Linked DNA regions of Mus musculus. The protein of the gene in region 6 interacts with the protein of the main gene of each other region in a biochemical or structural test. Links are inferred from orthologs where the notes say so. Each region holds a gene or a part of one and is shown on either strand. Other genes may lie near its edges.

Region 1 (4,254 bases), on a different chromosome or scaffold from region 6:
CAGTGTCAGAATTACAGACGGGCCGTCTTATGGTTGGTAACTCATGTTGCATGGAGTTACTTGTATTTTAGTGTTGTTTATATCTGGTTCTCCTTTGCCTTTACATAGCTGCCTGGTCATTCATTACCTGTTGCCTTGGTGTCTACTGCAGTCTCTTTGTTTTCTCTTCATCTGGCAATGTGGTGCACTCCAGCTTAAAGTTAAAAACGAGCTGGAGAGTTGGCTCAATGGTTAAGAGCACTGACTGCTCTTCCAGAGGTCCTTAGTTCAAGTCCCAGCAACCACATGGTGGCTCACAACCATCTGTCATGGGATCTGACGCCCTCTTCTGGTGTATTAGAAGATGGCTACTGTGTATTCATAGAAAATAAATGAATTTTTAACAACAATAACAAAACAAAACAAAAACCCAAGACAAACCGTCTTCACTGTTCCAGGTTCTCGTTCCGACTTTAGCTACTTCTCTCTCCCCTCCAAGATCAGCTTTGGGCCTTCTCTACTTAGCCACCCCACCTTTCTCTCCTCTGTACGTCTCACAAGCTGCTCATTGATCCATGGCACCTTCCTTTGTCCCCTGAAGCTGTTCCTTGTCCCCTGTTCTCCTGCCACCATGCCGGAGAAGGAGACCTTCCCCAGTATCTGTCCACTGCTCTGCTGCCCGAGACCTCAGACTGAATTCATCACAAGTGCTTCTGCCATGTCCCAATTGTGGGTCCTCCTGTGCCTCTGGGCCCTGTCTCTGGCAGATACCCAAGACAGAAGCGCCGCTTCTCTTTCATTTGTGACTCTTGGAGACAAGCGAGGGCCGTTTCCATATACAGGAGGCAGAAGCCATGACCACGTGTACTTAAGTGATATCTGGCCAAGAATTAATAGCACATTCAGTGTTCATACAAATCCTGCATTTTTCTCTACTTCCACCGTCTCCCTACTGAGCTGGTTTACTTTGGTAGGCTGTGGAGTGTCCACTGACATACACGGGGCATGTGGCCATTCATCAATAAGAATGAGTTGATTTTCTCCTGCTTCCTTCACCTCCGTTGCTGTCCTTGAAGATATTGCTGTTGGTGCCAGACATTAGGGCTGTCGTCATGGCTTTTACACCACAGAAGACCCCATGAACATGCGTTTCTCTTTTTCCCGTGCTTGCGAGAGTGTTAGGACAGGATCTGATTCTCCACTCTGCTCATTTATTCCAGGCACTCCGGTTAAGTAACTCGGCCATGGGGAAGACAACCACAGGCCAGATAGTTAACCTGCTGTCCAACGACGTGAACAAATTCGACCAAGTACGTTCCATCTCTGTCAGTTCCTGCCCCAATTTTCCCCCTTTTTAATCTGTTGGAATGTGAGGGTTTTGGTGTAGACTAGGATTTTTTCTGAAGTTGTGACATAGGCACTTTAAAGCCACATCTCAGTTCTGTGTGCAGCATAGGTGTGGTAAGATGTGTTGACCCCATAGAGCCCAGTTTTGCTTTTCTGATGTTGCCTGCAGCACACATCTACAGTGAGTTGGCGGAGAGCAATATTCCTCCCGACTTGGTTAGTGCAGTGATAGTCTCGAGGGGCTACCTCCTCATAGTAATTTTTAGCACATGACAGAGGAGCAGCCAGCTGTCTGTCTGTCTTTCTCTTTTTCTAAAGGACCCAAGTATTGGAGGGCAGGAGTGTGCAGTACAGCCCCCCTCCATGTGGTACCTGGTTCATAGGAACAGTTTGATAGGGCATGTCGCATGGTGCTACCTAGCTAGAATTTACGGCTCTCGCCCACACCCGTTTTTATGGTCGGTCACCTTACAGATTGATCACTCTAGCTTTAGGTCAGATCTGCCCAGCAACCATTCCCCTTTCAGATTTTCATTCATCAGACATACACCTCACCTGCAGAGTGTGGTAGGCGCCATAGCATAGGCTTTTCTGGGGAGACCCAGGGGAGATGCAGTTCACTTGTAGAGCAGAGGGTGGGTTCGCTTCCACACACGAGGAATTAAAGATCGGGACCGTCTCTGGGATGGTGCAGTCTATCCATCTTATAACAGGGACCACGGTCTACTGTTCATCGCACAAGTGTAGCATCTGCAGTGAGACCTACGGTTCTGCCTCAGCAGTGTTAAGCCCGCTCGCTGAGCCCCGGTTCTCTTTGCATTCTTGTCTTCCCGTTTGGAGCATAATGTTGCTGGCATGCGTTCCCACCTGTCTTGTTTTATTTACAGTCCTAAGCATGTGTGGGCTTTGTATCTGCAGGTGACAATCTTCTTGCACTTTCTGTGGGCAGGGCCGCTGCAGGCCATCGCGGTAACCGTCCTCCTCTGGGTGGAGATAGGAATCTCCTGCCTGGCGGGCTTGGCCGTTCTGGTTATTCTTCTGCCTCTGCAAAGCTGCATCGGGAAGCTGTTCTCGTCACTGCGGTAAGAGGGACGCTGGGCTGAAGAGATGTCCTGTTTGGTAACACCAGTCCCCTCTCCGCCCCTGCCTGAGACTGCTACCCAGAAACAAAATAGAAACTTCTTATATTTTCTGCATATGCTGCCGGCCCTTCAGGCTTAGCTGGGGGTACTCCAGCCATAAGCGGAGGGCTGGTCTTGGAAGGGGAAGGGGGAAGGTATTGGCTGGCTGCTCTCTGCTGGCTTTTCAGTGTAACCACTTAGAAAGCATCCTTGCTGTAAGTTACGCATGTAGATGTTGTTAAAATCAAGTGGTAGTAAACACAATTATTTTATTTTGTATATTTTATTCCGCCCATCATCCATCCACCCATCCGTCCGTCCGTCCGTTGTGTGTCTATGGGGACGGTGCACATGTGCCACAGTGCATATATGAAGGTCAGAGGACAATTGGCATCTCAGGGTCCGAATCCCAACGTTCTATAGATTCATCCACACTGCGTGTTATGGAGCTGCTCCCGTATGCATATGTATGCTGTTTTCACTCCAGTATTTCCATTGAATTACAAACTCTCAGGGCGCAGGGCCAACCTTAACAGAACCTCGTGGAAGTCTCACCATCCTAGCAGGGTGTGTGTCAGAAACATGGCTGCTAACACAAGCCTGAATTGATCATGAAGTGACCATGGCCCGAAGCAGGTTCCAGGAGTCGAAGCCAGTCTCCGTAGAGGCCTCTGGATGAGGGTGGAGATGCCACACCGTTTGAAGGCATCAGGCTCTTTCCTTCTGAGCCTGTGCTCTGTGTGGTCTCCTCTGTGTTGAATGTCCTCTGCCAGTTCTAAAGCTCCTGACATGCTGTGGCTGTCTGCTGACTCTTTTCCCGGCAGGATGAGCAAGCCTTTCTGCTCCACAGCCTTTCTGATCCTGTCTCTTTCCACCTCTGCCAACTGTGTCCTGTCAGACGTAGGTGATTTCAGTACCTTGTGCCCCCCTCAATATACCAGAATCATTTTTGGGTTTTCTTCAGCAGTCATTCACAATGTTCCATAATACGCAGAGTTGGCAGAGGTGGCTGACTGTTCATTCGGCCTTCTATGTGTGTGCTGCATGTAGGACCCACCCATGCTGCATGTAGGACCCACCCATGCTGTGGGAGCAGAGGACCGCCTTTGACTCTGGGTCCCTGTCTGTGCCTGTGATTGATACACAAAAGTTGGCTGCCTTCCATGTGGCTTATCTGTCACATCTGTCCCCCTCAGGAGTAAAACTGCGGCTTTCACGGATGCCAGGATCCGGACCATGAATGAAGTCATAACAGGCATGAGGATAATAAAGATGTATGCGTGGGAGAAATCGTTTGCTGACCTCATTGCCAATCTGAGAAAGTAAGTCTTGGGGTAGACTGGACTGTCTTGTGCACTTTTCTATTTCCTAATTTTACCGAATGAATTTAGAGTTCTCTTTGATCTCCCTGGTAACTCACCTCAGATATGATGTGGTCACCTGCTGTGGCAGAGTGTTAAGTATAATGACCTGGGACATCCCTTTTAACCTGGGCTTCTGTGTGCCATTATTCCCAGGCAAAAGCTGCATTTCTCCTCTTCTTGTTCGTACCTGTCTGTCTCTGTCTGTCTCGATCTCATTCTGGTTTTGATGGTGCTGGGGACTGAACCAAGAGATTCACTTGTTCTGGACAAGTATCACAGCACACACCACTGAGCCGCACGTCCAGCCTTCAGGTGCACTGCCATAGTCGAATGGAGTTCAAAATGTTCCTGAATGCTTCACCTTCCCTATAAATAATGATTCCAAGATGCAAAACTCTGAGATAATTACATTGGTGAAGCTCTACTTGATGTCATTGTTCATT
Region 2 (4,254 bases), on a different chromosome or scaffold from region 6:
GAGGATATGCATTTGGGAATTTCTTGTCACTTAGGACTTAAACAGTGCTTTAAAAACTAAACTGCCACTGTGGATTGGCACCTGTTCCATGATGGAATGTACCAAGAAACATTCCAGTAGCCAAAAGAAATCTACACATTGGCACTGACACAAAGAAAAAAAGTTTAGACTTAAACAAAGTCTATGTAAATTTTGATTGAAGGAAAACAACATAAACATTAGCAAATATGTTGTTTAGTTGTAAAATTGTGCATATCATTGCTTTCTTTTAATCTAGCATTTGAGAGCTATTTAACTGGACAATGCCTATAAGATACTGACAAAAATGAAAAGAAGGAAGGAAGGAAGGAAGGAAGGAAGGAGGGAAGGAAGGAAGGAAGGAAGGAAGACGAAAAGAAAGAAAAGCACACCATTAGATTGTTTTCTGACAAGTGCATCATTGAATTTTGTCCACTATGAACCCTGCCCCTGTCCCCTGACTTCCTTTCCCAAAATGTCTTTTTTTTCCCCTCAGGTGACTGTTGATGATTTGGATGTAAAATGTGCTAAAGACTCCTGTGTTTGAATACTTGGTCTCAAGCTACTGTGCTGTTTAGGAAGGCTATGGAATCCTTCGGTTCTTGAGCAGGCCTTCAGGTTTACAGCCTGGCCCCACTTTTTCACTATTTGCTTCCAAAGTGTGCTTGCAATATGACCTACCAACCTGCTACTTCTGCTATCATGCCTTCCCAGCCTCTGTGGAATATGTTCCCTCAAACAGAAAGCACATATATATCTCCTTTCCTTAACTTTTAGGTGCTTTATCATGGCAACAGGAAAAATAATAGAGTGACTAATACTGCATTCTTGTGCAGCAGGTCAGCACACAATGAAGTAATTACATCATTGTGAAAGCTTCCCTCGATGAACACTGCCTGAGACAAAGGTACAGCAGGCAAGTAAGGATCATTACCACATGAGTCACTGCCTGCCTCATTAGATCATCTAGATGGACATCTAGAATTCTTTTCAGTACTTAACTTCAACTCATATTCACTCTTTGTAGGTTGGGCTTCTGAATCTGTTAAAAACTAAATGTATGGAGGTGTAATAAATGATGTGAGGATTATAAATAACAAACTATTATTTTACTTGTTAGATGTGTGGATTTTAGGACCCCTTGTCACAAAAACAACAAAAAATGTTACTTGAGATGACATAGTTATGTTATTGATTTTGTTATAGTAATCTCTTTACAATACTTATGAATCAAAATATGCTGATTATAAAAAATATTCCCAATAAATTTTATTTTATGACAATTCATCATATATAGCATTTGTATTTATGCATATTTCCTTATGTCTGAAGTACTAAAATATCAATAGTAATTCTAACTGTGGATTTTAAAAAGTTTTAACTTATTTTTCTGTGTATGAATGTTTTGCCTGCACACATCTGTGTACTACACACATGTTGTACACACAGAGGCCAGAAAAGAGTACCAGGTTCCTGAGACTTCAGTTACAGATGCTGTAAACCACCATGTGGGGTCTGGGAATTTGGCTAGGTTGTCTGGGAAAGCAACCAGTGCCCTTAACCACATAGCTGCCTCGTCAGCTCCTCTTGGTTTTCAGAAGCGATGAACTTTACAGGAAACTACCGTTGTACACATGCACATACACATGTGTACATGCTCATATGAATACATACAGCTTTTTTATCCTAAATTTAAACTCACAGTGACAATTTCCAAACAAACATACTTACCTCAACCAGAAAAACCAGTACGCACCAAATCAGCACTAGCAGTAAGCCTTTATGGAGAGTAAAATATCGTAGGTATGTGTTCCATGTTGTCACCGGGGGTATCTTGATCACATCATCAAGAAAACACTCCTGAGAAAAGAAGTGTGATTCTGAGACAATCCTACTCCATGCTGCCACTGAGCTTTTATTATGAATTCAGGGAAATAAGGGAACAGTACCATTTACAGCCAAGGATCTTTAAAAAATAAAAGCCACTAAAAATGCCACGGGTGATGATGGCCACAGAGAATAGGATGTCTGCTCAAGCAATATAGTTTATAAAGTACCAAACACAGTGAGACTTCCCAAACCTTAGCATGTAAATGCTTTACAGCCCACACCTTTTGTCAAATGAGTGAAGCTCCCAAACTCTTCATGATTGAGCTTGATTCAGTGAGCCAGAGACAAGGGCAATGTAGAATTTGCTAGCTACTTGAGTCTTCTATTTTAGAAGCTGGCTTATATTTGTATAGTCCTTAGGCATTACATGGTTGCTTTTCTAGCTACAACTTAAGTTACAAAATCCAATTCCAAATACAGCCTCTAAAAGCCTTTGTCTTTTGGAAGCTACATTATAAAAATGTGAGAAAAAGAGAGTCTATATATTCTAAAGGGAAACGATGCCCTCATAAAATCCATGAAGTTCATTAAGTGCCATTAGACTCACAAAGAAGGAAGCCTATTAACCTGGAATAAGGTTTACTGATTAAAAATTAGATTGTTGAACTAAACTGCCCTTTATTTAAAATCAAGACCAAATGGTAACATCGTAGGATGTTTGAATGTATGAAGATACTGAATTTCTCAGAACTTTATTTTATTTCTTTGTTAATAGGGACAATGATGTCACAGTGAAGGAGACAAAAAGTGTGTTGCCTGGAAGGTGAAATAATTGATAACTTAGTAACAAAATCAGGTAAAGAAAGCATTCTTTAAAATGCACACAAACCAAAATGTATATACTTCAATTTGGTAATTTTATTTAGATGGATATTAAATCATATAGATGAATTATCTTTTAGCAAATCAGTTTTAGATTATAGAAATATCGAGCATATATTTTTGAGAATTACTTATTCCTTTATTTCACAACAGAGTGAACTCAGGCCCAGAGATACTAAATGAATTGCAACTGCCCAAAAGTTAACTTTATATTAAAGACAGTCACCATTAAATATATCATCCACTAGGACTCTGCTTTAACTTCATCTAAGGTACATCCACTGGTAAACAATCGCCCTCTTGTTTTCCACTGCTTTCTATTTTAAGAGAGGTCGTTTTGCTCCTTAACACATAGAGTTAAGAACTTTAATCTGACTACTGTCACTAATATATGCCGAGCTGCACATATCTTCCTTAGAGAAACCCTTTAAAAAACACAACACAAATCTGAAAGGTTAGAAAATATATGCTAACTAAATGCAGGCAGGAATGTGAATTTATCTTGTCAAGAAGCCAGGTGTGTGTAATCCTTATCAAGGCCATGCCTTAAAAACACTTTTTGGTGTCTACATAAATGCAAGTATTTGTTTATATAATACTCTATTCCGCCTTTTCCTAGAAAAACACTAAAGGAGACAATTATTAAGTTATAAAAGTGAATATCATTTCATGAGTCTAGTAGAAAAACTCAACACTGAGGCCCTGTTTTGGCTTACCACACATTTGTGGGGTGGGGATGATATTTCAATGATAACCAGAAATAGTTTTATGTTTCAAGTTGCTTACACAGGTAATGGACTTTGTATCCTTAGCCCATAGACCACAATGGGATGCCATGAAATACATAGTATGTGACAAAATTTACTCCAATTATGGGGTTAGGATGAGATGTATCTTAAGACTTGACGGGTATATACCTTTAAATCTTCTTCGTTAATTTCTTCAGTGATGTTCAGTGTGCTATCTTGCGATAATCTCCTTGAATATACATCCACTTCATTTAAGCTTATCTGAGGGACTAAGGAGATTTTTCGAATAGAAGTTCTGGTCCTCTGAAGATTGCTGGAGCCTGAGTTGGGTGTGAACGTCATCAGATCCAAAACAGACTGTCTTCTTCTGCCTGGAAATGTGGGGCCGGTGGCGATCATGTTGCTGCGCGGCAGAGCAGCCTCCCCCTGTTCAGAATCCGGAACTAGGGACAGTCTCTTTTCTTGGAGATCATCAGACTCTCCATCGATACATAATGGAGTCTTTTGCACAATGGAAATTTTCCTTACAGAGCTGAATGAATTTAGAATAGAGTTCTTCCTTTTTTCTCCCACCTCTCCAGTCTGTCTAAACGACTGTTTGGGTTTGCTCCACGGGGCAGAGGAATCGTCTACTGAGAACCTGCGTAAGGTCTCAGTTAGAATTGAACTTCTTCTTTCCTCAGTAAACTGGTCAAAAGTATCATACCCCATGAGTTTCGAACTGAAGTCTGGACGTAGACTTTGTAGCTCAGAAAATGTCCCATAAAAATAGCTA
Region 3 (4,254 bases), on a different chromosome or scaffold from region 6:
AGCGACCTCATTTTGGTTTAGAAATACTTGAATCTTTAATAGTCCATTACATTGATTTTTGAAGGAAATAAGTAACATTTTAAAGGTTCTAGAAGAGTCTCCTAAGCTAAAGGAATCCTACAATGAAATACTTCCCCAAGTCCCAAGTCATAAAAATTACATAGGGCAAATGCTCAAAACCTAACATACAAATTCATCTAAACTATTTTTAGCCCTTTTGGATGAGACCTGATTCAAGGGCCACGTGTGAGTTAAGTCTAACTGGAACCTCTGACCTCTCCATGTTCCAAATAATATGATCACCACTGGCCTGCCCTTAACAACTCAAGCCACTGAAGAATTTCTGTTCCCTGGATCTTTCTCTTTCAAAGGCATCCCTAACTGCTTGTCACGGTCTCCTGATTCCCAGTCTGCGCAGGTGACCTTCTCCCTTCTTGTCATTTGCATCTTACTAAACTTCCTGACTCCCCTCCCTGGGGCCTCTGCATCTTCATCACCTTTGAGCATCGTGCCTAGGAAACGTCTCATCTCCCAGCTCAGGGAACCAAACACAAGACGTTCAATTTACCCAGCAATTGAACGGTACTTGAGTTTTCAAATACTCACATATGTCATGTGACTTTTACCATCACTGTGAGACACACTGAAAAAGAAAGACAATGCTATCTCCTTATCGAGGGCATGGCAATTCACCTAGCTTGCTCAATATGGGCCTGGGATGAAGAACCAGTCTGTAACTCCAAAGTCCGTACTTTCTTCTTTCTATTTACATAGCTTGATAGGTCGTGTGTGTGTGTGTATGTGTGTGTGTGTGTGTGTGTGTGTGTGTGTGTGTGTGTGTATGTGTCCATCCGTGTCCATCCAGGATGCATTTTATACCACTGGCTATGCCTGCTCTCCCATGCCAAATGTCAGACTGTCAGACATGCAGAAATCTGAAACATTCATTTAGGTAAATCCTTAAGGGAGGCCTCACCGGTTGGAGGTAATCCAGGAAAAGACGCATTTCTGGTTGGTGTCAATCTGCTTCTCACTGTTTGCTAGAAATCTCTGCTGGTGCTCAAAGGCCCGAATAACAGGCAAACCAGAGACAGTCTCACTAAAGTGAGAATAGATCGGAGATTTGGTGACAGAATCCAGCCGTCTCAGCTGGCGGGATGTAGCCACATAAAACACCTGAACTCAAAAACCAAGAGTCAGTTAGTGACAGTCCCCTTCCTTCTCCCTCTCAGCGCTCTGCCACCAGGCTATATATTTTGAAGGCTACCCCTCAAAATAGGAGAGATGGCTCAGTGGTTAAAAGCACTGGCTGCTCTTCCAAAGGACCTGGGTTCAATTCTCAGCACCCGCATGTCAGTTCACAACTGTCTGTAATTCCATTTCCAGGGGATCTGACATCCTCACACAGACATACATGGAAACAGAACACCAATGAACGTTAAACAAACAAACAAACAAACAAACACCCACTTGCCACTTAACAACCTCATCTTCAACAACAACACATGACATAAAAGAATAAACGACATCAAGGAAATGTCTTGAATCCAAACATGTTCCCTACCCAAGCTCTCTGGGGGCAGCTTAGGGTGACACATGCTATGACCCGCACACTGACTCATACTGACAACTGAGCTCTGAGTGATCCCGTGCTTTCCTGGGCACATCGAAGACGCTGGAGAGGAGCTGCCCACGTTAAACCTAAGGGACGCGTCTCAGGGCTCTCGGAAGCGGAGGGGGGAGACCCCGCCTGTCTTTCCCAAGCCCACCTGCACAGATACATAGAGAATGCTGAGAGGGATGATGATGATGATGAAGATGGGGGTGGCCATGCAGATCATCACGAGAGTGCTAACTATGCCGAAGAAACACAGCAGCCAGCTTCGCAAAGTCTGGGGGAGTGTGTCGTCCACCGTAGAAATATCCTAGGGATACAGATTAGGAGAGACGATGAGCCAGTGAGCTTGTAAGATGTTGCTCATCTTCCCGATTCCAGCTGGCATGCTCAGGTTGTCTCAGTTCCTCGGGATTTTGCCATTTCATCTCAAGCCGTCCATTTGTAATAGATCATACCAGTCGTCCAAAATTAATCAGATCTCTGTGGTCTCCTTACTTTTCCAAATTCTTCCAGAGACCTACGGTAATAATCCTCAGCTTTCCCAATAGATCTGGTGGATTTCTCACTCTCTCATTCTCCACCTTCATTAGACCTACACTGCAAACTACTAGAGTCTTTCAGAGAAATCCTCATTTTACGGGTTCTCATCCTATTAAATACCCAGTAGAGAGTCTGGCACACAAGAGACATCCAATACGCACTTGTTTTAAAACTCTGGTGTACAAAGTTTTGTCTCCCACCTTTACGTATATTCCATTTATATCATGGAGTTTTAGAGGGAAAGGAAAGGGGGGCTGAATCTATCTCCCACTGCTCAGCGTCCCAGCCAAGGAACCCAGAAGCGGAAGATGGCTTAACTGCCATGTTGTCTCGTGTTGTGTGAAATAAACTGAGGAAACTAACGGAAGGGTAGATGGTTTGGAACGCGCTTAGAAAGCCTATTTTAGATCTTGGGTTGCCCTCCCCTGGCTTTCCTAGAGGACTTTGTTAATCCTATACATCAACCGTGCGAGGGAACACTAAGGCAAGTCCAGATGATTTCTGGAGTTTCCCAAGTTCAGCCAGGGACAAGAGCGTTCTGTAGTGGGGTGCTTCTGAGTCTATGTACCTGTCCCACGCTATGTCAGCATGCACATAAGTTAGCCATGTCGAGGGCTGGCAGATGAGCCAAAGCCTCACTAAGCCACCACTTCTACAAGGATTACTTTGATCCTCACCTATCTTAGATTCTCCACCTTTTTTTCTTCTTTCTTTCTCTCTCTCTCTCTCTCTCTCTCTCTCTCTCTCTCTCTCTCTCTCTCTCTCTCTGGTTTTCGGAGACAGGGTTTCTCTGTGTAGCCCTGGCTGTACTGGAACTCACTCTGTAGACCAGGCTGGCCTCGAACTCAGAAATCTGCCTGCCTCTGCCTCCCAAGTATACTCTCTCCTTTTTTTTAAGGACTCCATCTTTGTTTCTAGAAGACCCCACATCAAACTTGCTCACCGCCCTGAACCACCCCTGCAACATAATTTACTATATGATTGTGAGTTTTCTTTCTCAAGTAGGACCAGTCAGCAAATCTGATTGTAGTCTAACTAGCTCACAGGAAGACCCCAGAAGACAGACCATACATATAATGACACCAGAAAGACTGTAGAGACTGTCTAATCCTTCTGAGAAATATCTGCATCCAAGAGTATGTGCTCTTTACTGACTAACGGGCAGGCAGCCTCTAAGTGGTCTCCAATGGCAGCTTTGCTATTTCTACCTTATAGGTAGGAGGGAAATGGGAAGTTACCTGTCTACTTCCTAAGCGATTGCCGTGTGCTCAGATCCTGACTGTAGGCTACGATCCACCCACAGTGCAGGCCTATTCATTCATCTTATAAAGCGCTTTTACCCTTCCACAAGCAGAGAACTAAAAGCTGTGCTGACGACACTTCACAGTCATTCAGAAGTGCCTGGTTTCTGCCTCTAATCCTGAAGCTTCCACTTTGGATGCACTTAGAGGAACCAATGAAGGAAGCCATCTTCACATCTAATAGTACCAGGCTCATTGAAAAAAAAAAAAACAACCCAACCCAACTGATGGTAGAAAAGGGATGCCCAAGTGCCCCCAGCCCTGGGATCTGCGCAGATAGAAGCAGTGTTCGAGATCCCCTTTCCATACAGATAACCCAACCCAAAATCCAGACCTAACTTACTGGTCCTCAAAGCATTAAAAGTTTTGCGAATGGAGACAAGTCAAGGAAACAGGCACTGTACGCTCCCTTCCATTAGCCGTCCTGAGCAGCGAGCATGCTTTTCTGTGGCATCTCCCCTCCCCCTGTTCTATTGCCCACCCCCACCCCCACCACTACCATGCTCACTGTTTCTCTCACCTCCATGATTTCATATCAGCTTTTCTGATTGTCCCCATCTGCCATCTGGTTTGAGCTTGCTCTCTTTCTCTACCATTCCATTGTACCCAGAATGCCTCTGCACATGCCATTGCTGTTTTTAACCATACTGTAAGTCTTTGGAGAAATCCTTCACTAGATAATAAACTACTGAAAAGCCTGAGGTGTCCATCCGTAGGACTCCTCTCTCTCTCTCTCTCTCTCCACAATTCCACAATTAGAAAGACCCTCAGCATCTAAGCAAGAACCCTAGTGTA
Region 4 (4,254 bases), on a different chromosome or scaffold from region 6:
CTGGGTGCTGCCTCCCTCGTACCTGGGTAGGGAGAACCCCACTGGCAGGGCGTTGCTGTAGAGCTCAGCACTGGGCGGACAATGCTTGTTGGAGTGTCGCTGCAAGAAGGTGTGTTTGTTCCGGTGCAGGTAGTCCACCAGATCACCGTATCGGCAGTATTCCGTGATGATGTAGATGGGCCCTGCAGGAGGACAGGCTCAGGGACAGCCTCTGAGGAAGGCCTCAGTCTTCCCAGCATGACCACAAAACCAATATAGAGTCTTGGGTGTGGAGACACAGATAGCAAGATGGCAGAGATGCTGGCACCTTGCAAACCTGGGTTGTTTCCCTGCCTCTGTGGTTGTAAGCAAGCTGTTCATCTCCAGGGTCCTTCCTCTGTCCACCTGGCCAGGGGCTGAAATCCACCCTTGGGGTTGACATGAAGACCCCTGAGATGCCTTTGAGGGCTCAGCATGTAGCAAGCCTATGATATCGGTTGCTGCTGCTGTTTTCAGACTGGTACACATTTCGGATTCTGCTCTACATAGAGCAGGTGAACGTGACTGTTAGTGCAATTTGCTGATTACACTTAAGTTCAATGCACTGAGAGCCATCTAACAGATGAAAATAACACTTTTGAAATACGGTCATTGCCCCTGATATAGCTGCCTCTTGTGAGGCTATGCCAGGGCCCAGCAAACACAGAAGTGGATGCTCACAGTCAGCTATTGGATGGAACACAGGGCCCCTAATGGAGGAGCTAGAGAGAGTACCCAGTGAGCTGAAGGGGTCTGCAACCCTATAGGTGGAACAACAATGTGAACTAGCCAGTACCCCCCAGAGCTCGTGTCTCTAGCTGCATATGTATCAGAGGATGGCTTAGTCGGCCATCATTGGAAAGAGAGGCCCATTGGTCTTGTGAACTTTATGTGCCTCAGTACAGGGGAACGCCGGGGCCAGGGGGTGGGAGTGGGTGGGTGGGGGAGTGTGGGGGAGGGTGTGGGGGACTTTTGGGATAGCGTTGGAGGTGTAGATGAAGAAAATAACCTAATTTTAAAAAATTAAAAAAAAATCTTCCAAGCTGGGGCTTGCACAATACTAATTCCAGCTTTCAGCAGACATGTCTCAGTGAGTTTGTGGCCATTTTGGTGAATATAGCAAGTTCCAGGACAATTCGTACATAGATTCGGTCTCTCTACTGTTCCCCAAATAAAATCCCAAGAAAATTCTAAGTCTAATATCTTTACTGGTGAATTCTGTCAAACATTTAAGTATGAATATAATATTAGGGGTTGTTTTTGATTAATTTATACTTTTGATTGGGTGTTTTCTTCATTTGCATTCAAATGCTATCCCAGGAGTCCCCCAGACTCTCCTCCCCCGCCCCCACTCCCCTGCCCACCCACTCCCACTTCTTGGCCCTGGTGTTCCCCTGTACTGAGGCATATAGGGTTTGCAGGACCAAGGGGCCTCTCTTCCCAATGATGGCCGACTGGGCCATCTTCTGATACATATGTAGCTAGAGACACGAGCTCCGGGGGTACTGGTTGGTTCATGTTGTTGTTCCACCTACAGGGTTGCAGACCCCTTTGGCTCCTTGGGAGCTTTCTCTAGCTCCTCCAATATTAGTTTTAAACAATTACTTGAGAAAGTGGAGGGAGCTGCCTCCTTTATTTATAATGAAGTATGTTTTGCCTTGATAGAAATATAAAAGGCCTATAAGAGAAGTAGAACCCTCATGAATAAAGATACAAGAATTCTTTTTTTAAAAAAAGAAAAAAAAAAGAAATACGGTCATTGCAAGCACAGACAACAGTCCATGCGCAATGTACTTCTGTATTTAGGCTGATTACACAACACCGAGGAAAATCCCAGATCTCACAACAAGCAGCTGCAAAGGGCAATAACTTCATGATTATTACGATGTTGACAGCCCAGTGGGTAACCAGGCCCTCAGATCATCGCAGTTGGCAGAATGACTTCCAACACTGATGTAAACAAAGCCAGTTCCTGGTTAGTACATGGATGGGCTCTGTTACTTTCTCACGGTTTTCAAAATGTATTGTGGAAATATGAAAAAGGAGGTGGGAGGGATGGTCAGCTGTTAGGAGCACTTGTTCATGCAGACAACCTTGGTTCAATACCGAGCACCTACCCACTGGCTCACAACCATCTGTCACTCCAGTTTCAGAGGATCTGATGACCTCTTCTGGCCTTCTCAAGTACCAGACACACATACATATGCACGCACACACACACACACACACACACACACACACACACACACACAGGAACACTGACATACAGGCAAGACTTCATCATGAAGGCAGGCAGGCAGGCAGACAGGCAGGCAGGCAAGGAAGGAAGGAAGGAAGAGAGGAAGGAAGAGAGAGAATAAGAAAGAAAGAAAGAAAGAAAGAAAGAAAGAAAGAAAGAAAGAAAGAAAGAAAGGAAGGAAGGAAGGAAGAAAGAAAGGAAGGAAGAGAGAGAGAGGAAGGAAGAGAGAGAATAAGAAAGAAAGAAAGAAAGAAAGAAAGAAAGAAAGAAAGAAAGAAAGAAAGAAAGGAGACAGGAAGGAGACAGGAAGGAAGGAAAAAAGGAGAGAAGGAAGAATGAGAAAGAGAGAAAGAGAGAGAGAAAGAGAGAAAGAAAGAGAGAAAAAAGAAGGAAGGAAGGAAGGGAGGGAGGAAGGAAGGAAGGAAGGAAGGAAGGAAGGAAGGAAGGAAGGAAGGAAGGAAGGAAGGAAGAGTCATAAAAGACTTGAATTCTAAAGCTGCAGGAACTAGCGGCCTGAAGAATCTCTTCATCATGAAGGAGTTGTGATTCTGAGATCCTGAAACTAAGTCCATCTAGGACAGTGCAATAAGAACGCTGAGCGGCAGGTGTGTGGACATTCTGCTGGAGTGTCCTGTGTTGCTGGTGGACTGAGGGAGAACAGGAAAGAGAGGAGCCCCAGAATCCTCCAGGTTGTGGGTTCGGTACCTCCTTTGGTGCAGGCCCCCAGCAGGTTGACCACGTTCAGGTGGGGTCCAAGATGACTCATAATCTTCAGCTCGGACATTAAGGCTTGCTTCTCGCTACTTCTGGCTGTCGCTGGAGGGGGGAGAGGGACTCAGCCTGGGTGGGCCACTGAGGTGGTATAGAGGCCCTGCCAGGGCCTACTCTGCTTCCTCTGCCCCATCCTGTCACACCACCAGTGTCCTAGGGTGGACTGTATTAGAGAGGGAAGAAGGTGGGAGGCGGGGAGAGAAGGAGGAAGAAGCACCCTTCGGTCCCACAACCTCAGGGCCAGGCTCCTTCAGAAGAAACAAAAAGCCCAGGGAAGGGAGGGACCGAGTGAGGCCTCGGGTGTGAAGAAGGGGCGGGTGGACTCACATTTCAGCATCTTGACAGCCACTTTCATGGTGGCCTGCGAATGGCTCAGACCGTGAGCTGTGGCCTCCACCACCTGTCCGAAAGCCCCAGAGCCAAGAGTGCGTCCTAGGATGCATAGAGACCCTCAGCTCCTGGAAGCTAAAGCTTCAAGCTTCATCCCATTTCCCATTTAGGTTGGGGAATATTCCCTTAGATCACCCTCCACATCCCTCCAACCGCCCTACTGTGCTCCCCTTGGGAAGTTTCCCATCCTCTGGGTCTCCTCTAGATCCTGCATGCTATCTGCCTCCCCTGTAGTCCCTGAAAGACCTCCTGTCTCTTAGGGACACGCACAACTCCTTTGCACCTGCCTCAGACTCCCTGGCCTACATCCAAAGGACTTCCTCTTTGACCTGAAGGGGTCCCATATCAGTCTTGGGATCCCTGAGTTTTGGTGCTATGGGGTCACCTTATCTTCACCATATAGAAAGGATAGTGAGATCCAGAGGATGCAAGATATCAGCTCTATGCCTTAGCTAGTAGCAACCATGATGGGAGCAAATCTGAGTGTGCCCACTGCTGCTTAACACCTCTTAGGACTGACCCAGAACAAGCTGGTCCCGTGGCAGCTCCCAGGTGGAGTCGTAAGGCAACTGCACAGGGTCCACGTAGATGTACTCATGACCGTCAGAGCTCACAGACTCAATGACCTTCCATCGGATCTCATAGCGTGGCTTCTGCAGGACAAGACCAATAACAGATGAGACTGTCAGAGGGCATCTTTGGCCTTGAGCCTATCAGGTCCAGACCTTTAGATGGCAGATGAGACAAGAGACTCGGGCATCCAGCGAGGACAGGGATGTTTGAAAGTGATGCAATGAATGGCTAGCAAAACCAAGGTCTCAATGAGCTCAGAGGCA
Region 5 (4,254 bases), about 110 Mb from region 6:
GGGGAATTTGCTGTCTAGCTCCCTGCTGTCAGCTAAACATAATCTTCAATTGTCGGTATATATTATATGCTACAGTGTAGCTCTTTGAAGGGACTGCCTGTACAACTCAGAGTGAATTACTGCTATGCCAGAACCAGCTGTCAACCTCGGTTTTGGGACAGGGGGCTGACTTGTACTAAGTGGGATCATAAGTAGACATTGTTCCCCTTCCTTCCCATGCTGCAAACTTGTTCTCTAGCCATATAATATCACCAATTGGAAATCCTGACAGATATGCCCAGATCACAGCCCAGCCTTGGAGGCAGGAAAGGCTTGGCATGACTGACTTCTGCAGAAGAGCAGCGTTCCCTGCCGGGCAGGGAAGAGAGGCTAGAACACTCTGGGCAAAGACAGAGTGTATTCACAGCACAGACACATAACCCATTCACACATAGGCTGCACACACCCTGAGTAGTTGTGTACATGACGAGCACACTGTACACTTGTACACTTGGAACACTCACATGTGGCACAGGTGCATTCAGGACACAGAGGCATAAGAGCCCAGGGTTTGAATTGGGGGAATGTGAGTGGTTTGCTATTGCCATGTGTCCTTGTTATTTATTCCTGGGCAACAGATAACCCCAAACACCATTATTTGTCTCTTGGGCATAGTGTATTAAAGGCACATGTCTTCTCTCAAGATCAGATGGTCACAGTCAGGTGACAGCTGGGACTGTGGCAGTCTGAGCACTCACCTGGACTATATACCTGAATTACCTGTGTCTAAAACAAACAGCCATTAGAGCAGACTTTCAAAGTGCTCTTCTTTTTGCACTTTCCCTTAGCACTGTCTCTCCAGAGGAGCACACTCTAGTTCCTTAATCATATCATGTCAATGGGTGGGTTGTGACTCAGCCAGCCAGGCCCTATAGGTGAGGACTTAGTGTATTTCCTATAGCAGTTTTGAACACAACTGCACTGAACAACAAATTTTTGCACACAGACGTGACAGTTTTCCTAGACCTGTAAGGTCAGATACTCAGTTGTGCCACCTGCCAAAGAGGGTGTGTCAGTTTCTGCTCTCACTAAAAGGGTAACGGCTAGTGTTCTTCCTTTCTGAGAATTTTTCTGCGCTTTTTGGTTTTTTTTTTTGTTTTTTTTTTTTGGTTTTTGAAACAAGGTTTCTCTGTGTAGCCCTGGCTGTCCTGGAACTCACTCTGTAGACCAGGCTAGCCTCGAACTCAGAAATCCGCCTGCCTCTGCCTCCCAAGTGCTGGGATTAAAGGTGTGTGCCACCACTGCCCAGCTCTGAGAATATTTCTGAAGTATAAGGTAAATAGACCTGCCTAGATTATAACTGTCCAGCTTGATGAAGTGTCAACAGAGCAGACTCTCTCATTTACCCAGAATTCAGCCCTGAAAACAGTGTATGTAGGACCTAGATATCCTGCTCAGGGGCACACTTGACAGACTCCATACATCCTACCTTAGACCTCACTGCCATAAATAAAGGCTGAGAGGTTCTGTTCCTTTCCAAACATTGTCCCAGACTCAGTAAAAGATCCTAGGAGGAAAAAAGACATACCCATGAGGAATCTCTGCAGTGTGGAGCTGAGGAAAGGGCGGGGCAGCAGTATGCACATCATGACAGAGAACTGCAAAGGGAATGAGCAGCTGTTTTGTCAGGGTAGAAGGTGAGAGGGCTCGAAGGGCTTTGCTGAGAGACTGGAAGAATTGAGAACTTTGAAAGGGGAATGGAGACCTTGCTGGGCTGCTATGACCCATACCTGCAGTGCTAGCACTCAGAAAGCTACCACAGAAGGCTCACCAGTTTGAGACCAGCTCTGGCCATGTGGCACATCCCTAATGTCACAGAAAATGACAGGGAAGGAGGAAGAGAGAGAAGGAGTGGCAGGGAGGGAAAGAAAGGACACATGCTAAGTGTGGGATAATACGTAGTACTGTTTATGATTTAGCAGGACAAATAATGAGGGACACTAGAGAGGTAGGTAGGGACTGTAGGTTAGGTGACCTTCTGTTCTGGAGTGAAAAGATCCTGAAAACAAGTCAGCTGGTTTCCCCTTTCAAGCACTCTTCTGGCTCTGTCTTTGGAATCTAAGCCCCTTCCATACGAGCAAAGCCTTTGTGACCCGAAGCCAGTCTCTTACCAGTCACCCCACAGGGTACTTGAGATGCCCAGTGCTTTGGATGGATCCTGTCTGCCCTGCCTACCAGCATGCCTCTTGCCTGGCACCTTTCTCCTTTGGCTCATTCACTGATCCCCAAGGAAGCTGTACCCTGGCAGATCCCTCTAACCTCATACGCCCTGTCCCTCCTCTGGCTCATGTTCATCTTACTTAACTATGAGGATTTGCAAATACATCTGCTTCCTGAACAAGACTTTGATCTGCTTAGAGCCAGGAAGCCTGTCTTCCTTCCTGTGTCTCAACTCCTAGCCCAGTGCCTAAATGAGCTTCCTAAATGAGAAGCTGAGTGAAAGTTTGCGTTTGATTCAAGGAACCGTAGAAATGATGAGGTTTGAGGAGAGAAGGGTGACTTGTCTGATTGTGGTTGCTTTGGGACCACTTACCTGGCAGTATTGACTGTAGAGGTCTCTGTCCTGTGTAATTTAAGCATCTTAACAGGAGCTTTCTCACTGACAGCCCATGAACCCAATTCCACCACCACTGCCTCCTGACATACCGAGCTTCGACATTATTGCTGACAGCTTGTCATTTGACTTCAAGGATACGGACATGAAGCGACTTTCCATGGAGATAGAGAAAGAAAAGTATGTACCCTCTGTGGCCTGCTGGGTCAGTCGTGAGCATGAGTGAGTGGATCTGGCCTAGAGTCACAGGTCACAACAGCAGCCAGTCATTACCCCTGCAAAGGTTTGCTTTGTTGTCACCCACTGGAGAACAAAGTTTCTAATTATTAAAAATTAAAGACAACAGATCAAGACAACAGTCAGGGTCCCAGGATAAAACTAACACTTGATTAAGATGGTATCCTGAAATTTATGTTTTATACCTTGTCTGAAAAATAGGACTGGCTTGTATTGAGTCCCAAGTTAAGACTGTTGTTCGCATAGTAAAATACAGTTTTCTTTAGCAGTGGTTCTAGAATGAAGGTAAAAGAAAAAAAAATTCCTAGGCTGAGCAAAGCCGGAGGAGGCCAGGGGAGACGAGTAACCCTATGCTGGTGACCCCGAGCCCAGCCAGATCACAGGCACTTCCGTCACATGCTCTCCCTTCCCTTTGTGGGCAGCAGAAGTGGAGCAGAGATGGACAGGAGGAGTCCCGTTGTGGACGAAATCTTAAGTAAGATCATTCTCATTTCTTGAGCCAGGAGTGAAGAATAGTGCTACAGCTGGCAGAGATCACAGTGATGCCATGGATTGACACCTGTGTCTCCATGTAGCTTTTTGGTGTTTGTCTCATTCACACGAATTAACAAACATCCCACTGGAATCAAAAGCAGGTTTTAGGGACTGGGAATATAGCTTAGTTCATAGAGTGCTTGTCTAACATCCACCTCTAACATAGTGTAAGTCAGGCATGGTTGTATACACCGGTAATCTTAGTACTCAAGAAATACAGGTAGGAGGATCAGAATTTCAAGATTATCTTCAGCTACGTAGCAGATTCACATCTGGCCGGGACTGCTATGAGGCCCAGACTCCAAAAAACATTTTAGTGTTGCAGTTATATAAAGGAAAATAGACTTAGTTTGATGAGTTCATCCAGCACCACATAGCTGATGAGAAGCAGGACCAGGATTGAAACCCCTTACTCTGGAGACCAGCCTGAACCACTGAGCCAGGCTAACCTCCTTTGACCCCTCATACTGACAACAGCTAAGAAGCTGACGATCCTGAGCTATTGCTCCGACTGTCCGTCTGAGCTCCTCATTGGCCAGATGTGCATGTTTATGTGGTTGTGATCAGCATAAGACCACATCCTGTTCTGGGTCTTGGTTTTTTATAGTTTGTATTTTCTTACTGTTTCAGTGTGTTTGGCTATTATAACAAAATACCAGGGGCTGGAAAGCTTATAAACAAGAGGAATTTACCTCTCATAGTTGAGGAAACTTGGAAATCCAAGATGAAGGAGGCATTGTGAGAATGTCCCTCCTGGTTTGCAGATGGCAGCTTCTCACGGTGTGCTTGTGTGTGCCTGTGGAGTCTTCTATTGTGAGCTCAGGCCTGCAGCATGCGAGTGGAGGGGACACAGACACTCAGCCCATGGCCCTTTTCTGTGCAGGCTGGCA
Region 6 (4,254 bases):
GTGATTCTCGCACAGTCGGCTGGGAAGCAGGACAAATGGGAAAAGCCAAAGAAAATACCCAGAGGAGACTACACAAACACAGCTGTGAGCGAGGAGAGGCCTGGGAGCCTGGGCTGAGCTCGCCTCCGACCTCCCGCTCTGGGCCTTGGTTTTCTCACGTGTAAAGTGAGAAGTCTTGGAAGGCTGATCTGTGGCTCTAAGGTTCTCAGACTGTGATTCTGGGAGCAGCCCAAGCCTTTAGTTCACATTTCCTCTCAGAGCACAGCCGAACAACGGGGTGTCTCGAAGCTGAGCTCAGGAGAGGGGTTTTAACCTCGCCTCACACCAGGTATCAGGAAGGCTGCTAGGGAAGCCCGTGGCATTTGTCTGGATTCTGGCTGGTAAATCCTGTGCATTGAGTGTATACTTGGTACACTAGAACCCGAGATGGGAAAAGCAGCCAGCCAGCCAGCCAGCCTGTCCATGCGCCCACTTGCTACTCCAGCTTCCCCTCCCTCTCCTCCTAGCATCTCTGTGCTGGCCATTTCCCATGGGCTAACCAAGCCACATATGGTGTAAGGCTGTCCCCTAACACCAAAGATTAGGAAGGTAGAGCCTAGCGAACACTGTACAGGACATCACCTCCACAATTCGGTCCTGGGCCCGGAGTCCAGACGCCTCCGCCGGTGAGTCTGGGTCCACTGCTCGGATGAACTGGCCTGGCTTAGACTTGTCGCTGTGCAGGTTGAAGCCATAGCCATTGGGGCCTTTCTTCATGGTGCAGAGCCGGGGCCGGAGCTCGCGCTGTGGGGATGTAGGAAGTGCCCATGTCATTCCATATTATCCCAACCCTGTCTTCTCTGCTACCCCTGCCCAACTCTACCTCCCCACCTAGAAGGATTTGGAACGATCCAATGGTGACCGGAGACTCGAAAGCAATACAAGAGAATCTGGTCCAGGGTTCAGAAGATGTGCACCGAAGCAGACTGCGCAGCTCTGGACAAGCGGCTGTCCCTGCCGAGGCTAGTTTGCCTCTCTGTCATTCTATTACATGTTTTGGTCTTACTTGGGTGGAACCCTGCCCCACCCAAGGCTCATCTGGGCCTCCTAGGCCTGGCTGGATACTTGAGGCTCACGAGTGGGCACCTGGCCCATGTATCTGGTCTCTGCTGTGAAGGCAAGGATAGCTGTTTTACTGAAAGCAGACAGCTTGTTTACAGTAAAGCCTTTCTTCTCTTGTGGGCCCACTTCCTGACCCCAGTGAACCAGACGGCCCAGCCAAATGTGAGACTGATAACCTGAAACCCTGTAGGTGTTGGGGTGAAGGGACCTGGGGTGGATGGGACCATCCTCAGGAGCTCTGTATCCAGCCCAGGACATAGGGAGCAACAGAACAGGGGTGGGGGGAGGCAGGATGGGTGGGGTGCCACTCACTAATCCCCAAGGACTCATATGGGGAGGAGGTCATGAAAAGCGGGGGCAGGGCCAACGTCATAAAAAACTGTGGCCCGGAAAGCAGAGTTTGTCACTTTTCATTTAAAAGTATTTCGTGTGGGAAAGAGAGCACACATACACCACAATCCACAACATTTGGGGGCCCGAGGACAACTTAAAGAGTTGGTTCTCTTGACACCATGCGGGGGGGGGGGGGGGGGTCCTGGTCAGGCTGTGAGACTCAGTAGTGTGTGCCTTGACCCACCTCCCAAAGGACACAAACAGCTAGCTGTCTTTTGTGCACTCAGCTGGGAACAACTTTTAACGTTTTTCATTCTCTTCAGCGGCGGCTCAGCTCCGTGCCATAGCTTTGATGATGCTCACAGGCACACTGATTGACAGGTGGACTCTTGATGCTCACACTGATTGACAGATGGCCAGAATCAGGGTGCGAGCCTGTAGAAGCTGGAGCCAAAGCACTACTCTGACCCTAGCTCCAAGTCCTGGCAGCCTGTTGGGACACTGGCTGGCTGGCTAATCCTAGGTTGCCACCTACCCCATGGGGCTTCCTGACTAGCCTGTGGCTTGGGGCGCATCATTTCCCTTCCTGAGCCTCCCGGTCTTCCTTTTTAGAAGGTGCTTATTGCTATCTGCCTACCCTCAGTAGGTGGCTGCCTTTGAGGCACAATGACATAATGACACAGTATAAAGGGACACTAGGGAGCTCCCAGTCGCTCGGGCAGACCTGGATGTAGCCATTGTCCTCACTAAGTCCCTCTGCATACCAACACTTTGCTATTGTCCCTGCTCCTGGGGAACAGTCTCGTAACCCTGAGATGCTGGGTGGGGAGGGTAGTGTACTAGGCTGCTCAGAAGCCCAAATCCTTAGGTGGGGGGTACAAAAGGCAAGGGAGGGTGGGAGAGAAGGCCAGAGAGACTGTTCATCCAGTTAAGGTGTTTGCTGCTGCCAAGACCACCTAAGTTTCATCTCCAGAGCCCGCGTGACAGAGAGATGACTCCCACAGGTTGTCCTCTGACCATGGCACTCTGCAACCTACACACACACACAGACACACACCCACCACACAGACACACACACACAGACACACGCAGACACACACGCAGACACACACATGCAGACACACACACACACACGCAGACACACACACACACACACACACACACACACACGCAGACACACACCACACACACACACACACACACACATACGCAGACACACACAGAGTAAAATTTAAAGGTGGAAGAAGGATGCTTGGGCGGCACTGTGGACCTGTTTCAGGATGTTGGATGGGTTTGTGGAGGCAGAAGTTGATACTTGGGATTTTCCCCAGTGGCTATTTACCACTCACCCCAAACAGCAAAGACAACCAAATGGGCAGCCAAGAGAAGGCAGCCACAGGAGGCCCCTCCTCACCCTGCTGGGACCTAGCCCCTCCTGCGGCCCTCCCAGCGCCAGGGAGTTCTGAGTGAGGACTCGCTTCCTTCCAGCTAATCCCCCATATGGAGCTGCCATCGGGCCCTCCCCCAGGCTGCCTAGGTTAGCTGAAACAGGTCTGACCAGTTGTTACCACCAGGACAGGCTCAACTTTCTGCCTCAGCCACACACCTCCTGTGGCCCTCAGTCTGTGGAATCTCAGTTTGCCTCAGGTTCCTCCCCACCCTCCCCCTAGGGTTCCCTTACCCGGGACATCCCACAGCAGTCTCACTGGGGAGCTGCCTGCCTTACTCCCACCACATCAGTTTGTCTGTCCTTAAGCTTTGGGTCCAGAGCCAGGCAGCCCATCTGGAGGGAAGCCTAGTGACAGACAGACAGTGGAGGCTCCCTTCACATTGACCGGGTGTCTGGGAGCTCACGAAACCAAACCACAGGCTTCCTTCCGGGGGCTCCACACCTCTTTCAGTCAAAACCCCAGCCCGAGTGGAAGGATAAAGCCTGGCCCGGTGACGGGGCTGTGAGCAAGCCCAGGCTGGCACTGTGGCTAGAACCAGGCTGAGGGCTCAGAAGAGGTGACTCCCGAGTCGGCAGGGCTGGGCTAGATTGCCTTGTTATGACCACCTTCCGGGTTTCAAGTGTGTGCTCTGGGTTTTTCCCAGTGCTCCTCAGCAAGTGTCACCTCAGTGTCCCTTTTTCTAGTGACGCCTACCGTCAGAATTCAAAGGTCCACTTTGCATCCTTTTAGCAACAGGAGGACCAGGAAGACTGGGAGGATCCTGCCTAAGGGGATAGGACATTTTCTATTAACTCCCTCTGCGAGGCTCCCGGCTGATTCGGGGGGGGGGGGGGGGGGGGCAGGGCAGGGTGGGTAGTATTACCCAGAAAGCCCCACTCCACCTAGCACTCATAGACTTTCAGTACTAATGGGTCCCTTTCAGAATTCTCCAGACCAGTCCCTAACCTGTGGGTCTCTCTTGGGGGAGTTGAACAACCCTTTGGCAGGGGTCATATGACATAACCAGCACACCTACGTAGCATACTCATGACTCATAACAGTGGCAGCATTACAGTTACAAAGTCGCAAGAAACATGTTCTGGCTGGGGTCACCACAACATGGGGAGCTGGGTTAAAGGGTCTCGGCATTAGGAAGGTTGAGAACCACCACTCTAGAGGGTCTCTTCCTTCGCAAGCAGGGGAGGGAGAGTGTTTTCAACTTCCAGAGAAACTAGCCTGTCCTCTTCCAGTCCCCAGGAGCTGTCACTCATTGTGGCTGCTGAGTCAGCCCATCCCAGCTTGGGTGGAGCTTGGAGGTCCCCTGGGGACAGGCCCCTAGTTCCCAGGCCTAGAGCCAAGTAGAAATGGGGGAAGGGCAAGGTATCTGAGC
Region 7 (3,341 bases), about 110 Mb from region 6:
TTCTAGCCTCAGTCTCCCCAGTTGTACCAGGACAACACGTGCTAGGCCCAGGCAATGCCTAAAAGCTCCCTGTGAGTCTGTCCCTCCCTCCCTGTCCCCTGCTATGGTCTGGCCCAGCTTGGTCTCAGGCCAGGAACAACCACTATTGTTTGACTAGAAAAGCTGCTTCCTCAGCAGAAGGGGGGCCTCTCCCAGGGACACCCTGTTCTCCTCACCGCCAACTATCAGGTTGTAGCTGAGCACCTGCCTGACCCTCCACCGCCCTCTGCTCACTTGGGTGAGGGGCTTGGGTGCAAATGTGGCACTTGGAGGAGGAGGACATTGAACTCCTCTTATGTCAGACACAAGCCCAGCCTGGCATGTGGACCGTGTCAGCCAACAGAAAGTAGCGCTTTATCAAGGAGGCCCACTTCTCCCCTCACCTGTCTTTCTTTGGTGGAGGCTTGTGTCAGGCGCCTGCAGTACCTTGCCCTGGCGGCAGCCCCTGATACTGTGTGAGTGCTCACAAGTTAACTGGGGTCTTAAGTGAGCTCCTCATCTCACCACGGCAAGTGTGGACAGAGTGGAGAGCCACAGGGCTGAGAAGCAGGAGGCAGAGAATGTGAAGCTGCCCTGAACCTCAGGTAACCATTCGCCTCTCCAGACTCAGTATTCCCAGCTGTACCAGGACAATGCAGCCTAGGCCCAGGCAACGCCTGGAAGCTCCTCCAAGTCTGTTTCTCCCTACTCCCTGCTATGGTCAGCATCTAGGTCTGGCCTTGGAGCCTTTAGCTACCTCTTCAGGATCTTACCCCCAATCCCCAATAAAGAAGCACAGAGCAAGGCCTTGGGGACTATTTCCTGTTCTGCCCAGTGGTGGGCTTTAGCCTGGACTGACTCTTCTGTGTAGAGGTGAACATGGAAGAAAGATGGGTCGAGAGAGAAGAGCCAAGAACAGTAATTGGCTCTGGACTCCGTGCTCCTGTATGTTTCAGGGGGGCTCCCGGGATGAAGGGCGATAGCCCTTTGGGTCCTAACTATACACAGCTCTATACACAAGCCTGTTTATTTCCGTACAAAACCATATATCTATTTTACACAAAGAGTACCCCACCGCCTCCCCGCATGCCAGCACCCTACCCCTGGGTAACATCTCCCCAGAAGGATGGGGCTGAGACCCAACCCCTTTGGCCACAGCTTCTGCCTGTGCTGGCTGGACCAGCTCAACTCAAGAGAAAATAAATAAGGAGGCCCAGGCAGACTCTGTACTGGACCAGCCAGATCCTATCCCAGCCCACGGGCCAAGCAGTTGGCTCCTCAGGCGCAGAGGACCTGGAGTGTTGTCAGTCTTTGAACCGTGTAAGACGTGAGAAGACCCCCGCGGAGGCCTGAGCTCCCGGGGTTACAAGTAGGTGTCCTCACTCTCCTGGGAGGTCAGGCTCTCCTGGGAATGGTGGCAGGCTAAGTTCTGAGGAGTAGGGTCCTGGGGGACCGGGTCCTTTGGGGACACACCCTGAGGAGGACATGCATCTCCTGCAGCAGTCACCACTGTGGCTTGACTGAGGCCTGGGGACTTGTCCAGTTGCGCACTGGTCTTTGTCCGCTTCTGCTCCTTCTGGGCCTGCTTGTGCGGCTTAGCCTTGGAGCTGAGGAGGGCTGCATCTGGCGGTAGGCGGATGGAAGGTGAAGGTTGCAGGGCAGGCCTGGGACCAGGCTCTGCATCCAGGATGGCTTTGGCACCATGCATCCTGGGCAGAGAGCGGCACTCCAGCTCACCACGCGTCTCTTGCCAGCGCCGCAGCTGGATGAGGTGCTCCCGCTCAATCTGGCGCTCCGTCACAGGCAGCTCTATCACCTTTGGGGCAATGAGGAGCAGGTGAGCACCGGAAGGATGACCTTCCCCTCTGCTTTCCTGCCCACCAGCTTCCCTTACCTGTCTGCTAAAGGGAAGATATCATTGTGGTCTGAGTGCCAAACATGAGAGCCACGGTCTCAGAAGAGACACTACCTATAGCCCACACACCCCTCTCTCCTTACATCTAGGACAGGAGGCAGGGCAGAGCTGACATGGGCAACCCCACTCTTAGCCAGTATGTCACCTACTGACTAGGGCAGCCTGGCTCCAGTTCCAGCCCTATCACTTTTCAGCTGGTGCCAAAGGAAAGTCACTTTGAAATTTTGCCTCTCTGAGCCCTACTTCCTCAAGTGTAAAATGGGGTCAGTGCTGGAAGTGGGCACAGATGACCTTGTATGTCTGCCCCTGCTACATGCACTGTCATCAGCCTGGCCATGATCCCCCATAGAAGCTGGCCATGTATGTATCTCTTCATTTGTAGCCTCTGAAAAACAAGTATCCAAAAAGAAAACTGAGGGGGCTGTAGATCACAGCTCTGCTCTGTTCCCAGAGTGGAGTGGCCTAGCTAGTGGGGACACTTCACAGTGCCTCTTGTCCCTGTCCACCTCGCCTGACCTGGCCTACCAGTCAACCCTTGGGGCAGGGCCATACAAAGTCAACTGCCAGCTTCCCCTCCCTCCCATAGCAGGTGGGAGACGCAGGTCCGCACCTCCTGAACCAGGAAGGCTTCCTGCATGATCTTGGGGCTGAGGCTCCGCAGCTGCTCGATGGTTTCATACTGGCCCTGGCAGGCTTTGAGCTTCTCTGGGGAGCCCAGTGCATGCTTCAGTAGTACCAGCCCCACGCGGAAGATGATCTTGACTCCTGTATGGGGCGGGGCGGGGAGGCAGGTGATGAGTTCAAGGAGGCTTGGGGCTTCTTTTGCACCCCCCACTATCCACCATAGTCTGGTACCTTCACAAAAGAACATGTCCCAAACTCGCAGCACAGAGCTCCAGGGCAGCGTGCGGGCAAAAGCACACATGAACCACTCTGTCATGTACAGCAGGGGATCAATCTTCTGGCGGCTGAGGTGCTTGTGAGCCACAGGGGACACCTTCTGTAGCAGTGAGAAGAGGATCTCGCCGTCCAGCTGGATTGCCTCCTGAAGAGACATCAAGGCCACAGAGCCATGACCACAGCCCCCTGTGAGCTCTTAGTACTGGGCCAACATGGAGTAATTCATCAGGTAGCCAGAGCCTATAGAGCACTGGCAGACAGACGGACAGACCAGACACAAGACGGTCCCCTCAGGGAGACTGAAATAGTCCGTGGACACAGAATGGGGGAGGGACAATGGGGCTGAGTGTCCCAAACACTACAGGAATGGGAACTCCTGCTTGTCAAGGTCAAGGAAAGCTCCGCGCATGGGGTGAAGGCTGAGGGAAAGGCATCCTGGCGGGACAGAGTGGAGCTGCAACAAGCTCTTCGGCCAAGGTCAATGAGGCATGGCCGGGAGCCGAGGCAC

What was found.
Region 1: the proteins of Slc9a3r1 (region 6) and Abcc4 form a complex in vitro, tested with the Homo sapiens proteins (3 studies listed by BioGRID and IntAct, with this or other methods). The link is inferred for Mus musculus from reciprocal best matches to the Homo sapiens genes NHERF1 and ABCC4.
Region 2: the proteins of Slc9a3r1 (region 6) and Cftr form a complex in vitro, tested with the Homo sapiens proteins (9 studies listed by BioGRID and IntAct, with this or other methods). The link is inferred for Mus musculus from reciprocal best matches to the Homo sapiens genes NHERF1 and CFTR.
Region 3: the proteins of Slc9a3r1 (region 6) and Abcc2 form a complex in vitro, tested with the Homo sapiens proteins (2 studies listed by BioGRID). The link is inferred for Mus musculus from reciprocal best matches to the Homo sapiens genes NHERF1 and ABCC2.
Region 4: the proteins of Slc9a3r1 (region 6) and Pdgfrb form a complex in vitro, tested with the Homo sapiens proteins (2 studies listed by BioGRID and IntAct, with this or other methods). The link is inferred for Mus musculus from reciprocal best matches to the Homo sapiens genes NHERF1 and PDGFRB.
Region 5: the proteins of Slc9a3r1 (region 6) and Nf2 form a complex in vitro, tested with the Homo sapiens proteins (2 studies listed by BioGRID). The link is inferred for Mus musculus from reciprocal best matches to the Homo sapiens genes NHERF1 and NF2.
Region 7: the proteins of Slc9a3r1 (region 6) and Tbc1d10a form a complex in vitro, tested with the Homo sapiens proteins (2 studies listed by BioGRID and IntAct). The link is inferred for Mus musculus from reciprocal best matches to the Homo sapiens genes NHERF1 and TBC1D10A.

Annotation. Positions count from the first base shown.
Region 1 is NC_000080.6:118,629,133-118,633,386, reverse strand, and holds part of Abcc4 (multidrug resistance-associated protein 4), read left to right. Parts: intron 1-1,199; coding exon 1,200-1,289; intron 1,290-2,244; coding exon 2,245-2,408; intron 2,409-3,643; coding exon 3,644-3,769; intron 3,770-4,254. UniProt on the Homo sapiens protein: ATP-dependent transporter of the ATP-binding cassette (ABC) family that actively extrudes physiological compounds and xenobiotics from cells.
Region 2 is NC_000072.6:18,267,822-18,272,075, reverse strand, and holds part of Cftr (cystic fibrosis transmembrane conductance regulator), read right to left. Parts: coding exon 3,648-4,254; intron 1,879-3,647; coding exon 1,750-1,878; intron 1-1,749. UniProt on the Homo sapiens protein: Epithelial ion channel that plays an important role in the regulation of epithelial ion and water transport and fluid homeostasis. Mediates the transport of chloride ions across the cell membrane.
Region 3 is NC_000085.6:43,823,506-43,827,759, reverse strand, and holds part of Abcc2 (canalicular multispecific organic anion transporter 1), read right to left. Parts: intron 1,926-4,254; coding exon 1,770-1,925; intron 1,177-1,769; coding exon 977-1,176; intron 1-976. UniProt on the Homo sapiens protein: ATP-dependent transporter of the ATP-binding cassette (ABC) family that binds and hydrolyzes ATP to enable active transport of various substrates including many drugs, toxicants and endogenous compound across cell membranes.
Region 4 is NC_000084.6:61,072,447-61,076,700, reverse strand, and holds part of Pdgfrb (platelet-derived growth factor receptor beta isoform 2 precursor), read right to left. Parts: exon of another isoform or gene 4,078-4,254; intron 4,072-4,077; coding exon 3,939-4,071; intron 3,461-3,938; coding exon 3,356-3,460; intron 3,074-3,355; coding exon 2,963-3,073; intron 183-2,962; coding exon 23-182; intron 1-22. UniProt on the Homo sapiens protein: Tyrosine-protein kinase that acts as a cell-surface receptor for homodimeric PDGFB and PDGFD and for heterodimers formed by PDGFA and PDGFB, and plays an essential role in the regulation of embryonic development, cell proliferation, survival, differentiation, chemotaxis and migration.
Region 5 is NC_000077.6:4,782,955-4,787,208, reverse strand, and holds part of Nf2 (merlin), read left to right. Parts: intron 1-2,645; coding exon 2,646-2,773; intron 2,774-4,254. UniProt on the Homo sapiens protein: Probable regulator of the Hippo/SWH (Sav/Wts/Hpo) signaling pathway, a signaling pathway that plays a pivotal role in tumor suppression by restricting proliferation and promoting apoptosis.
Region 6 is NC_000077.6:115,172,880-115,177,133, reverse strand, and holds part of Slc9a3r1 (Na(+)/H(+) exchange regulatory cofactor NHE-RF1), read right to left. Parts: intron 784-4,254; coding exon 622-783; intron 1-621. UniProt on the Homo sapiens protein: Scaffold protein that connects plasma membrane proteins with members of the ezrin/moesin/radixin family and thereby helps to link them to the actin cytoskeleton and to regulate their surface expression. Necessary for recycling of internalized ADRB2.
Region 7 is NC_000077.6:4,213,194-4,216,534, reverse strand, and holds the end of Tbc1d10a (TBC1 domain family member 10A), read right to left. Parts: intron 2,979-3,341; coding exon 2,789-2,978; intron 2,699-2,788; coding exon 2,544-2,698; intron 1,835-2,543; coding exon 1,382-1,834; 3' UTR 1,030-1,381; downstream 1-1,029.